Schizosaccharomyces pombe: one gene and its partner. Changing the gene in region 1 together with any one later gene gives a genetic interaction. Each region holds a gene or a part of one and is shown on either strand. Other genes may lie near its edges.

What was found. Genes that interact genetically often act in the same process or in processes that back each other up.
Region 2: mutations in clr1 (region 1) and clr6 impair growth when combined (synthetic growth defect), as found in Schizosaccharomyces pombe (one study listed by BioGRID).

The regions. Positions count from the first base shown.
Region 1 is NC_003423.3:2,995,319-3,001,694, reverse strand, and holds clr1 (SHREC complex intermodule linker subunit Clr1), read right to left. Parts: upstream 4,605-6,376; 5' UTR 4,458-4,604; coding exon 741-4,457; 3' UTR 559-740; downstream 1-558. Other genes in the region: ABC1 kinase family ubiquinone biosynthesis ATPase Coq8, read right to left, coding at 1-334; protein mhf1, read right to left, coding at 4,816-4,957, 5,008-5,186, 5,232-5,243; peptidyl-tRNA hydrolase Pth1, read left to right, coding at 5,629-5,724, 5,772-6,076, 6,116-6,161, 6,198-6,371. UniProt on the Schizosaccharomyces pombe protein: Regulates silencing of the mat2 and mat3 loci. Organizes the chromatin structure of the mating-type region where it also participates in establishing the 'cold spot' for recombination.
Region 2 is NC_003423.3:848,787-853,088, forward strand, and holds clr6 (class 1 histone deacetylase Clr6), read right to left. Parts: upstream 2,691-4,302; 5' UTR 2,573-2,690; coding exon 2,533-2,572; exon of another isoform or gene 2,491-2,532; coding exon 2,429-2,490; exon of another isoform or gene 2,384-2,428; coding exon 2,333-2,383; exon of another isoform or gene 2,291-2,332; coding exon 2,173-2,290; exon of another isoform or gene 2,130-2,172; coding exon 2,099-2,129; exon of another isoform or gene 2,057-2,098; coding exon 2,013-2,056; exon of another isoform or gene 1,923-2,012; coding exon 1,877-1,922; exon of another isoform or gene 1,822-1,876; coding exon 1,587-1,821; exon of another isoform or gene 1,541-1,586; coding exon 1,448-1,540; exon of another isoform or gene 1,403-1,447; coding exon 1,294-1,402; exon of another isoform or gene 1,250-1,293; coding exon 1,109-1,249; exon of another isoform or gene 1,069-1,108; coding exon 960-1,068; exon of another isoform or gene 918-959; intron 913-917; coding exon 854-912; intron 803-853; coding exon 723-802; 3' UTR 559-722; downstream 1-558. Other genes in the region: cys11 (cysteine synthase), read left to right, coding at 1-399; spo9 (ER farnesyl pyrophosphate synthetase Erg20), read right to left, coding at 3,239-3,820, 3,861-4,061, 4,130-4,267. UniProt on the Schizosaccharomyces pombe protein: Responsible for the deacetylation of lysine residues on the N-terminal part of the core histones (H2A, H2B, H3 and H4).

The DNA.
Region 1 (6,376 bases):
TTTTTATTTCTTTAGAAGATTGCTCCTGCAAATGTTTGACACCGGAGGCATCTTTCTGAACATCTAAAGAATTTCCCAAAAGCGTTCGTTTCGTATCTTTAGAAGATAACCCCAATTCTTTTATTTGGGAAGCATGTTTGACTTTACCGTTTCTGTATTTCTCCAATAATTGAACGTGCAGGTCACTTGTGGACCTTTTCGAACTGGTTATTTTCGATGCATCATACAGTTGTTTTGCTGTAATTGACGAAGCTTCAGCCTTTAAATATGATTTGGCAACATTTCGAACTGCGGATCCTATTGTTATAAGTTCCCAAAGCCCTGAATTAGCCATTTGTTCTGATTAAATAAGAGAAAAATAAGCCTTGGAATAAAAAGTGCTTCAATTTCGAATGGAAGGGCTTTCAAGTGAATTTATTTATTTCAAAAACCAGACATTTGATTATTTTCATTAACTAGCCACTGTTATAATGGTTTTATGAATCCAAAAATGATAAAAGTTTATGATGGTTCCTAGCGGCGGTTACTTCAGTTAAGCAATCGAACCATATGTATGTACTTGAAGGGACGCGTGTACAGTAAATTAAGGACAATCAATAATTTTTTATATTTACTTTACATACAATAACTATATAAATAAAAGACATAAGATGTTTGTTCAGAGAGATTCACGCCAGTTGGATTAAACCATAATTAAGAAAATAATTGTTGAGATCACGCTTGTAACGTACAAAGACGGATCATTCTATTTTTATATTTTTACGTTGCACAATAGACCCTTCGATTAGCAAGGATGGAGTAGGGACACTTTTGCTGACAGGTAAAATAAAAGAACCATGACGACCAACCCGGGCATAATTTGAATCAAAATCGTACCCAGTATTATCATTTTTACCTTTACTATCGTACAAACCCGCAAATGATTTATAAACATTCCTCTTAGCTAAAGCAGCTATAATTTTATCTTTAGACTGATTGCTTTGGGTTAGTCTGGAAAGTAAAGATGAGTTAAAACCAGGTGGAGGAACCGGATACCAATTCGCAGGAGCAGGTTTAGCTATCGGTGTACAAGTTTCCATAAAACATTCTACTTCACCAGACTTCTGTGTGTAAGCATTTCTTGTACGACGTGCTTCTTCTTTGACATTGCCATTTCGAATTTTAATGAAAGACTCTGGTGTGAACTTGAAAGGTAAATGTGAATGCTGCAAATGTTTGAACATATCTTCATAATTAGAAAAGCACTTTTTACAGTTAGAAACTTCACAATTAAGCCGGATGTTGTTCAAATGGCCGCGCAAATGCATTTCAAACTCTTCTGATGGCAAAACCATATCACACGAAGCCCATAGGCATTTAACCACAGAACAACTTTTCGGATGATGTAACAATAAAACGTGTTTTATAAAATTTTCCAACGAATGAAGATTGGCTAAACAACCCTCCCATTGACAACGGTATTCAGCATAACCTTTACTCAACATGTTAAAGGCTTTAAGTACTTTCTCCTCAAAGGGGTCAATTAACACAAGCGGTTTACAAGCCTTTTTACTAAGCACTGCTTCGTTCCCTGCTTGACTAAGGCTCACGTCAGCAACGCTCGTAGAAATATTCTCACGCAAATTCAAAGACTCGGAGTCAACGACATTGCTTTGATCGCTTTGAGCACCAGCATTAGTAGGTACTTCAACGGGCATTGATTTAGGAAGCTCAGTTGTAATATGAATTGAGGAAATCACATTTTTATCTCCACCGTCCTCTTTAATTTTGTCGGCAAATGGAATATTAGAACTTCTAAAATCTTTATCAATGGTATCAAAAGATCTTTTTGCTGGGATTTTAATTGAACCAGTATCATGGAAAGGTTGTTTTGAGGACGTCGATTCAATTCCAAAATACTCTTTGCGCTTAACAGTTGAAATATCCTTGGTTAAGTTGATCGACTCACAACTTGATAGTTTCCCAGAAATTAGTGGCTTCAATGCGCTTCTGCTTTGTTCTTCGCCAGAATTGTTTTTAGATACATCATTGCCAGATATCAGTTTGTCAAAATCATTAGTACCAGAATCTTTAGCCTGTTTTGTTGAAGACGCATCTTCTTTAAGAGTCTGAAGATTGCTGTCCTTTGAAGTAAAGTAATCTTTACGAGTTGAATCGATAGGAGAAATCTCGTTGTCACTATGAAGAAGAGATGAAACGCTAATGTGAGTAGAAAAACTATCCTTCGTCAATGCTTTAGAATTTGGTGCAGCATGAACAAAAGGAGACTTATCGGGTACAGCCATTCGATTGCTAGAAGCATCCCCATCGCTACTAATACTGGAGAGCTTAGAGTTAGATGGTTTAGGAAGCGAACAGTCCGTATTGTCACTTATTACATTATTTTGATCCACAGAAAACTGCTTTTTAGGAACCAATCCCGGACGTATGGTTTTTATTTCTGCAAGACAAACCTGAGATTCTGCAGAAGGACTTAAAAATGTGCTAGTCAATAATTCTTTTTCATTCGAATTTTCTATTTCACGTCCAAAAGCTCTCTTTGTAACGTCCAGCTTCTCAGGAGGTTTTTCCTGATCAGAATTATATATTCCATCGGCGGAAGCTGCTATGTTTGATACGTCAGCTGTTTGAGCTTGAGTTTCAGAATTATTATGAGATGTCGGAATTCCCTCAGGCAATAATTCCTTTTCATTTCTAGGCCCACTTGTCAAACCAGACGACTTAAAACTAGAATTCGTTTTCAAGACATTGTTAGTTGTGTCAATGTAGGAAGAAGTTGATGACGGTTTCACCAAAGTAGTTTCCGAGCTAACAGATTTTTGTTGTATTGGTTCCTTTTTGCTTTTAATCAAATAATTATCCTTATCAGTATTAAGTTTACTAATGGTGTCGACAGTTGAAGAGGAATACACTTCCGACGCCAGAGATTTAGTAACTCCTAACGAAGAGCTTGATTGAGCAGAGATTTCCGAGTGTTTATTTCTCGTAGGATAGCATACACGTCCGTTAACTGCAACACCATTTTGTTCACGAAGTTGAATGACTTTATCAGGAGATAAGTCTAGCTGTTTTATAGCTTTTTCAAGAGTTTGGCGGTTGTAAGCAATCTCTTCATTAAACCGCCTATGTTTCAAAAAAGAGCCATCCGGTCGCAGGTTAGTAATTGGCAATGAAGGGAACTTCGAGGACACTAACGAAAGATTATTCCAATCGGCCAGGTTACGCAAATCGCCTTTGAATTGTTTTTTCAATTGACCTTTATTTAGTTCGTTTTGCATTAGCTTTAGCTCCAATGATAAATTAAGTCTCGGTCTATCAGGTTTTGATCGAGAGAAAGACGCTGTAGAGTATAGGATTGAGGATGCAATATTATCAGGTGTTAAAAACGGAGAAACAGATGGACACACCTTTTCAGAGTTTAAATTATCAAAAAATGTTTTCTTAACAGTAGAGTTAAGCCCCTCTTTAAGCACTGCTGAAGAGCCTTGGAAACGCAGTCCTTCAAAAGGGTTTGCATGAGCTGCATTTTTTAAGGTTGAAGGGTTTCGCATACTTCCAAGATTATAAGAAGACGTATTACGGGAACTTGTGATATCTTTTTTTGAAGGTGAGCGGTCATAAAGAGATGCTGACGCGTTAACTTTATCGGAAGTTGTTTGCACCATACCATGCCCTGGCTGTTGGCTTCCCGAGGAAATAAGCTTTTCTGAACCATACACATCTAAAGAAGATATATTGGACTTAGTTATAGAAGACGGAATAGAAGAATGATTAGAGTTGACTGAGGAAGCAGTTTTCTTTGAATTATTTTTGACATTTGGAGATACGTGTTTAACCGGGCTAGACTTATTAGATGGGAGATTAGAAAAAGGACGAAATTGATGCTGATAAAATGTTTTTTGTTCGCAAACCAATCCAGGATTTTGTGATGAACTCTGAAAGTCGAATGGTTTAATACCAGCATATTTAGAATTTGATAAAATTGAAGTGTTAGGTTCTGTATTTACCGAAGAATTGGGTTTGAAATTACCATGAGATACATTGGAGACTTGTTGTTGTGTATTTGTTGAAGCCCGTTGATAAACTTCAGATTGAGCTTCCTGTTGCACCTGTAGCTTTGGGCGACCCAAAGTAGTTATCCGAGCTACTAATGTCTGTGAGTACGATTCGAATGGAGGGGGATTAATGAAGAACCCAGTTTTTACAATTTCCTCATACAATTGAACAATTGTAGATATATCGTTGACTGGACCCTCCCTGACTCGTAAAGCCATCAACCATGGACGCAAAATATCATACGTCGACAATAAATATGATAAAGCGCCAGGTGGAATAAGTGAATGAACCAGAGTTTTCACATTGAATGGAGCAGCATGATAAAAGCAGAAAAAATATAGGAGTCTGAGTTGTTGCAATTCTGTCAATGTCTCTGAAGAACTGATATCAGGTTCCGCCATATCTAACAACGAATTGCATGCAGTTGTGTCTTTAAATGTGACAAAAAGTATTTATTACCATTAATTAAATTCCAAAAGGTGGAATTCCTTGGGACCAGCCCTTCGAATTACTGTTCGCACTATTTATTGTGGTGCTGCTGCTATTGATGAAGTGAACTACGACGGGAAGGAAAGAATAGCCGGGGATGCACACTAAGATATCAAAAAACGGGGAAATTTGTTACAACAAAGAATAACATTAAATAAAAAAGAACTAATAATAAGTCTTGACAATGGTCAATCTATGTAATAGAAAGTTATTAACGATAACACAGCGTTGAAAATGAGCTATAATCACTGTACCCACAATGGATGTGCATTATGTTGTACTGTTTTCTTTCTTTTTCTTTTTAGATTTGATCGATTCTTTGTGAAAATTATTGATAATCTCATATAATCCTTCATTTCTTCGACAACATAAAAGCACATCCTGTGGTTGAACCGTTTTCCGTCCTGCATGTCTATTATTTTGTTAATAAGATTAAAATATTTATTTCCATCAAGAGCGTACTCTGCAAAAGCCTCAATGTCTTTAGCTAATACACGTATTTGTTCCCAAACCATTTCGGTAACTCCAACACAAAAAAGCTCATCTACAATGACATTTCTTGACTCTGATTCAGTTAATTCAGAAGCTGTACGATTACAAACTTCTTGTGTAACGTGAAAAATCTCTGCTTTGAATCTCTCCTAGAATACCAGTTAGCCAATACCTATATTAAAATGCATTATTACCTCCTCCATCATATAACTTTGATTACTTTTTATTAATTTTCGTAATAATACGTTACTAAAAGTTAAGATAAGTAGTCTCCTTATAATTAAATGGCTAAAACATGAAATAGGTGGTTTCCAAGTTTCTTCGTAGTTTGAAACATTGTTTTATTAATCTAAACTAAAATATTATTTTCGTGGGGAGCTAACCGTGCTAAATACCAAAGAGTAGGCCAAAACCAATCAGTTGGAAAGTATTTATTAATCTTAATAAAACCTTGTGCCTAAATAAAAATTTTCTCAGAAAAAAGTCCATGGTGCAAACACAATTCTTGGTAAGTTGAAAATTCTGTTGAGGATGCTAAAGCTTTTTTTCAATCAAAAAAAATTTTTTTTAAAATAAGTACCAAAGTTCCGTATGGCAATAAAACATCTTCCTAAGATTTTAATTGCCAGGAAAAACAAAGCAGAAGTTAACCATTGCGACCTTAAAAGAAGAGTTTCTATAAAAATTGTTATGATCCGTAAAAGTCTTTCCAAAATGGGATACTAATCCGAAAGATCTATGGTTTAGGAAATCCAGGATCAGCGTTCGTCAAATCGAGACACTCACTGGGGAAATTAATGGTGAGTATGTACGCTGACAGCATGGCATTTCCAAAAAATTGGCCTAGTACCAAAGAAAATCTCACCTTGGTTTTGTCCACCTCATACATGAATGATTCCGGGAAACAGTTGAAAAAGATATCTAATGATTTTGTGCGCAAAGTTTCGCCATTAGACAAAATCGTATATGTAGTTGTGCATGACGAATTGGAGTTAGATTTAGGCAAAGTCAAGCTTCGTTTGCCCGGAGGCTCTCACAGGTAAGTAATATCCAAAGCAATACTTATTAACATTGCTAGGGGACACAATGGGATTCGCTCTTGTCAAGAATTCCTAGGAAAAGAAGTAAGGTACACATTTAATTTCATTACTAATTCAAAGAGTTTTTACAGGATTGGATTGGGAATTGGACGTTGTGAGTCAAGGAATAGGGAGGACGTTTCAGATTATGTTTTGAGTAAATTCAACTCTAATGAAATGAAACTAATTGAAACTGATATATTCCATAAGTTTTGCAACATTCTTCAACAATTACAACTTTCAATTGAAACATAGGGACT
Region 2 (4,302 bases), 2.1 Mb from region 1:
AGTGTTTTGTATAGCCATATCAAAACGAAGGGTAAGCATCCTGACAACAAGGGTTCTTCATTTACCGAAGGCATTGGTCAAGGTCGTATTACTGGAAATGTCCAACCTGTTTACGATCTCATTGACGATGCTATGAAAATCCCTGACGAAAAATCTATTAACATGTTCTTTCGTTTGTTAGACCAAGAAGGTCTTTTCTTGGGCGGCTCTTCTTGCTTAAATGTGGTCGCTGCTGTTGAAATGGCTAAAATATTAGGTCCTGGCAAGACGGTGGTTACAATTCTTTGTGATTCTGGTCACAAGTATGCCACTCGTTTATTCAGTCGCTCATTCCTTGAAAGTAAAAAATTATTTGATGTAATTGAGCCACAATACAAGAAGTATATTGTACTTCCTTAATTGTTTTGACCTTTTACTTCGGATAGACATATAATTACTACTACCTTGTGATTTCCGTTTCTTCTTTCTTTGTGCGTTAATTTTTTGGCTATTCCTTTTTTTTTAAAACCACAAGTCACATCTAGAGTATAGAATATAAAGTGTTTGTTATTATATGTAATGAGCATTTTCAATTTAATGCTGAAGTCTAATTATGCTGGAGAATTCTTATAAATAAGGGTATTTAAACATAATAGCTTTTATAGTATTCATGATTCAAATAACACAAAAAAACCGAGTATAATGGATTCAAACACCATGAACATACAAAATTTTATATAGGTCTATACGCGCTCATCCATAATCTCTTCTTTCGCAATGTTCTGCTTTTCGGCATTTTCAAACGTAAAGTCACCGGGAGTTTCTAATGTAAGAGTATTTGTTAGCACATTTTTCGATAACCGCTTATACTTACTATGCATTTGAACGCTAGGTGCAAAAGATAAGTTTCTCAAATTTTCGATGATTTCAGAGCTAAATTTGGTCAGCCTCGTAAGAATAAAACTCAAAAGGTAGCATACGTTATCGAATCAAGATACTGCCGAGTGTTATGGTTTTCCATATTGTTTGAAAGAACATTGAGCTTGTAATCGGGACCGTAATATTGTAAATAGTCATTATAAGGAAGGTCTTGGATGGGTTAATAAACAATTTACGTATTGGTACTTACTTTCATCAAGCTCTTCGCCGGCTAAAAGACCAGTTTCATAAGTCCAGACACGGGCAACATTCCGTACAGTATATCCACCTCCTCCAACGCATATCATTGGCAAATTAAAGCTCTTAACAAAATCAACGCACATTGAATGTCCTGTTGAGGGGAATTAGTAAAAACGAGAAACAGTAGTTACTTACCCTTCATTGACAGATTGAAGCAGCCTAGTCGATCACCAGCGAGAGAATCTGTTCCACATTGTAAAATAACAGCTTCCGGTCGAAACCATTGCATTATGTGACTTATAACCTAATTCAGATTGTTAGAACAAAGAAATTTATAAAAAAGACTTACAGGCTTAAATACGCTTTCATAAGATTCATCGTCAATACCATCTCTCAAAGGAACGTTAACAGCATAGTTTTTTCCTGTTCCAATTCCGGTGTCCTAAAATATTAGAAAAGTAAATCCAAATATAAAGCCGCATGCATACCTTGATATGACCGGTTCCTGGAAAATATTCACCGAATTTGTGGAATGAACAAGTCATAACGCGATCCGTAGTGTAGAAAAATTCTTCTACACCGTCTCCGTGGTGAACATCAATATCAATGTAAAGAACACGTTGATGATATTTCAGCAATTCTAAAGCAGCCAACGCGATATCATTAACATAGCAGAAACCAGAAGCTTCACGTTTTTTAGCGTGATGTAGGCCTCCAGCCCAACTTAATTAAGTGGTTAGTTGATCTTCAAAGTACTAAAAAATCCTCAATAACATACTTAATAGCAATTTCTGCGTTTCCCGAGTTAAGTTCTTGAGCAGCACCTAAACCAATGTTAGTTAAAGTCCTATACTCCATTCACAAATTCAGCGGATGCTTCAAAGCCCCTTTTTTGGGAAAAACTTTTATCTTACCAATTGAACCGCCAGCAGAAATTGAACAAAATTCGTACAGCCCACTAAACAATTGTTAGTATAAAAAATTTGATAAACGCACATACTCAAAAACAGGACAATCATCACCGACGTTAACTAAAATCACGGTTATTTATAAATAATCGAAATGAAATCTTACATTTCAGCTGATGCGGTTGAAATTTTTCCATCGTGTCAGGTGTAACTCTCCAAAGAAATTCAATATACTCATCGGTATGACAACGAGTCATGTCATTCCTTGTTGCTCTAACAGGTGTCTTGTATACTTTATTAGTATAAAAAGGAGAAATAGAACTTACAATAACGTTCAACTTCTCATACAAGTTGTAATTAACGACCAGATTATGAACCTAAGTAGGTTAATGATGATAAATAGTTATAGCTTTATATCATACCATGCGAACGCGATGAGGCTTCATTGGATGCTGAGGACCATAGTGATAATTTCCAACATCCTCTATTTCAAAAATTAGCTAGGATCTTACTAGTTTACACGTACCATCATAGAAATAAGAAACCTTTTTCTTCCCGAACCCCATAGTTTCAAATAGGATTTTCTTTCCCAATTATTTAATAAGGCAAACAGTTTCCTTATGTTATCAATTAAAAATGTTAGGTTCGGAGCGCTTTCGCGTAGAATTGTTGCTATGATGGAGTGGTCAGAAGCTGAAGCAGCAGCCTGGTTCTATTGAATATTTCTCCCATCCACGAACTAGTGTTTCAAGATCTTAAATAAGTAACGATTAATTGTTCAATTTAAGTAAAATACTGTTATAACAAAAAGGACTAACCTTGGAATGTCTATTAAAATGTGCTGTATGTTTTTTTCAGTGACAGTTTTTGCATTTTCTCAAATGAGCAATATAATAATTCTTTCATAACCAATCCAATTAACAACGATCGTCAATGTCATTTGATGTTATTATTATACTACTCACCAAATGTTTACATCTACATAATCTAAATCTTGCTTAGTTTCCCAAGTAGAGTAATGTATCAACCAGATAATCATTAAAAAAGTAAATTCTGAATGCAGATCTTTAACAATAATGAAAAAAACCATAAATGCTATAATGATATGAAACCTTAAGAATAACCCTAAATACAAATCGTCGATCAGTATCATAAAGAATTTGGAAGGTCATCAAATAATAAATTTTAAATAAGGAAGAAGATAATAACGGTTATTTAAAATGAAATGACTGCTACCGTGACCTTTTGTAAATGAGCTGAAAAAACTTAGTAAATATACACTTTTTCAATCCAGTAGATTCATCAATCAAATCAATTTCTTTGGATATAGAATCCACCATGTCATCTTCAAATTTGTGATATAATTCAGGTATTTGAAGCTCATGATAAAGCTGCTTTATTACAGCTATGTTTTCAGACCCTGCTTTTCCATAATGAGCACGAAGAAGATTCAGCTGATCCGCAGAGGCAAATTTTTCAGCATAACAAACTAGCCATGTGCATTTATTGTCTTGTATGTCCATTCCCACTTTACCCAAAACCGTGTAATCACCGAAACAATCTAAGTAGTCATCTTGGACTTGGAAATAATAACCAAGAAGTTTTGAAAGCTTTATAGTCGTATCATACGCCTTTTGATTCGAATTGCGAGACAACAATAAAGCACATTTAATAGGAAGGTAAAAGGAATAAAATGATGTTTTATAAGTGATAATAAAGTCATATTTCATTAAATCAAAAGATCGTAACGAGGCTTCTCCGTCTCGTGATGAAAGCAAATCTTCTTGTTGCCCCAACTCGGTGAGAAAAGTAACCTTGAAAGTAAGCTTTTTAGTTGAATTTATTGTAACATACCTCTCGGAAAGTATCCAATAAATCGACATAGTATGGCATATTTCTGAAATACTTTCGAATTAAAAGTGGAATACATGCTTCTAGTAATTGTGACTCATTAATTGCCCTTCGTACACCAACTACCAAATACCAACAATCTAAACCACGTCGTTTGATAGACTGATCCATAATATCATCTGCCATTAAAAAGCAACCTTGCAACTGAACATCCGTCAGTACCCCAGTGATTTTACGTAAACAAATCTGAATTAAAAAACCAGTTTACTTACAATTTCAATTAGCCAACCTAGGAGAGCAGCGTCGCGAAATTCTGCTTCTTCAAGTTCTCGATTAATAAGGCTTGTTAAAGATTGCAAAACTGCCAGTCCTCGATTATTCTTTCCTCCTAACGTATTTCTCTTTATGGACTAAATGAAGGTTAGCTGTCGCGTTATAAAGGCAA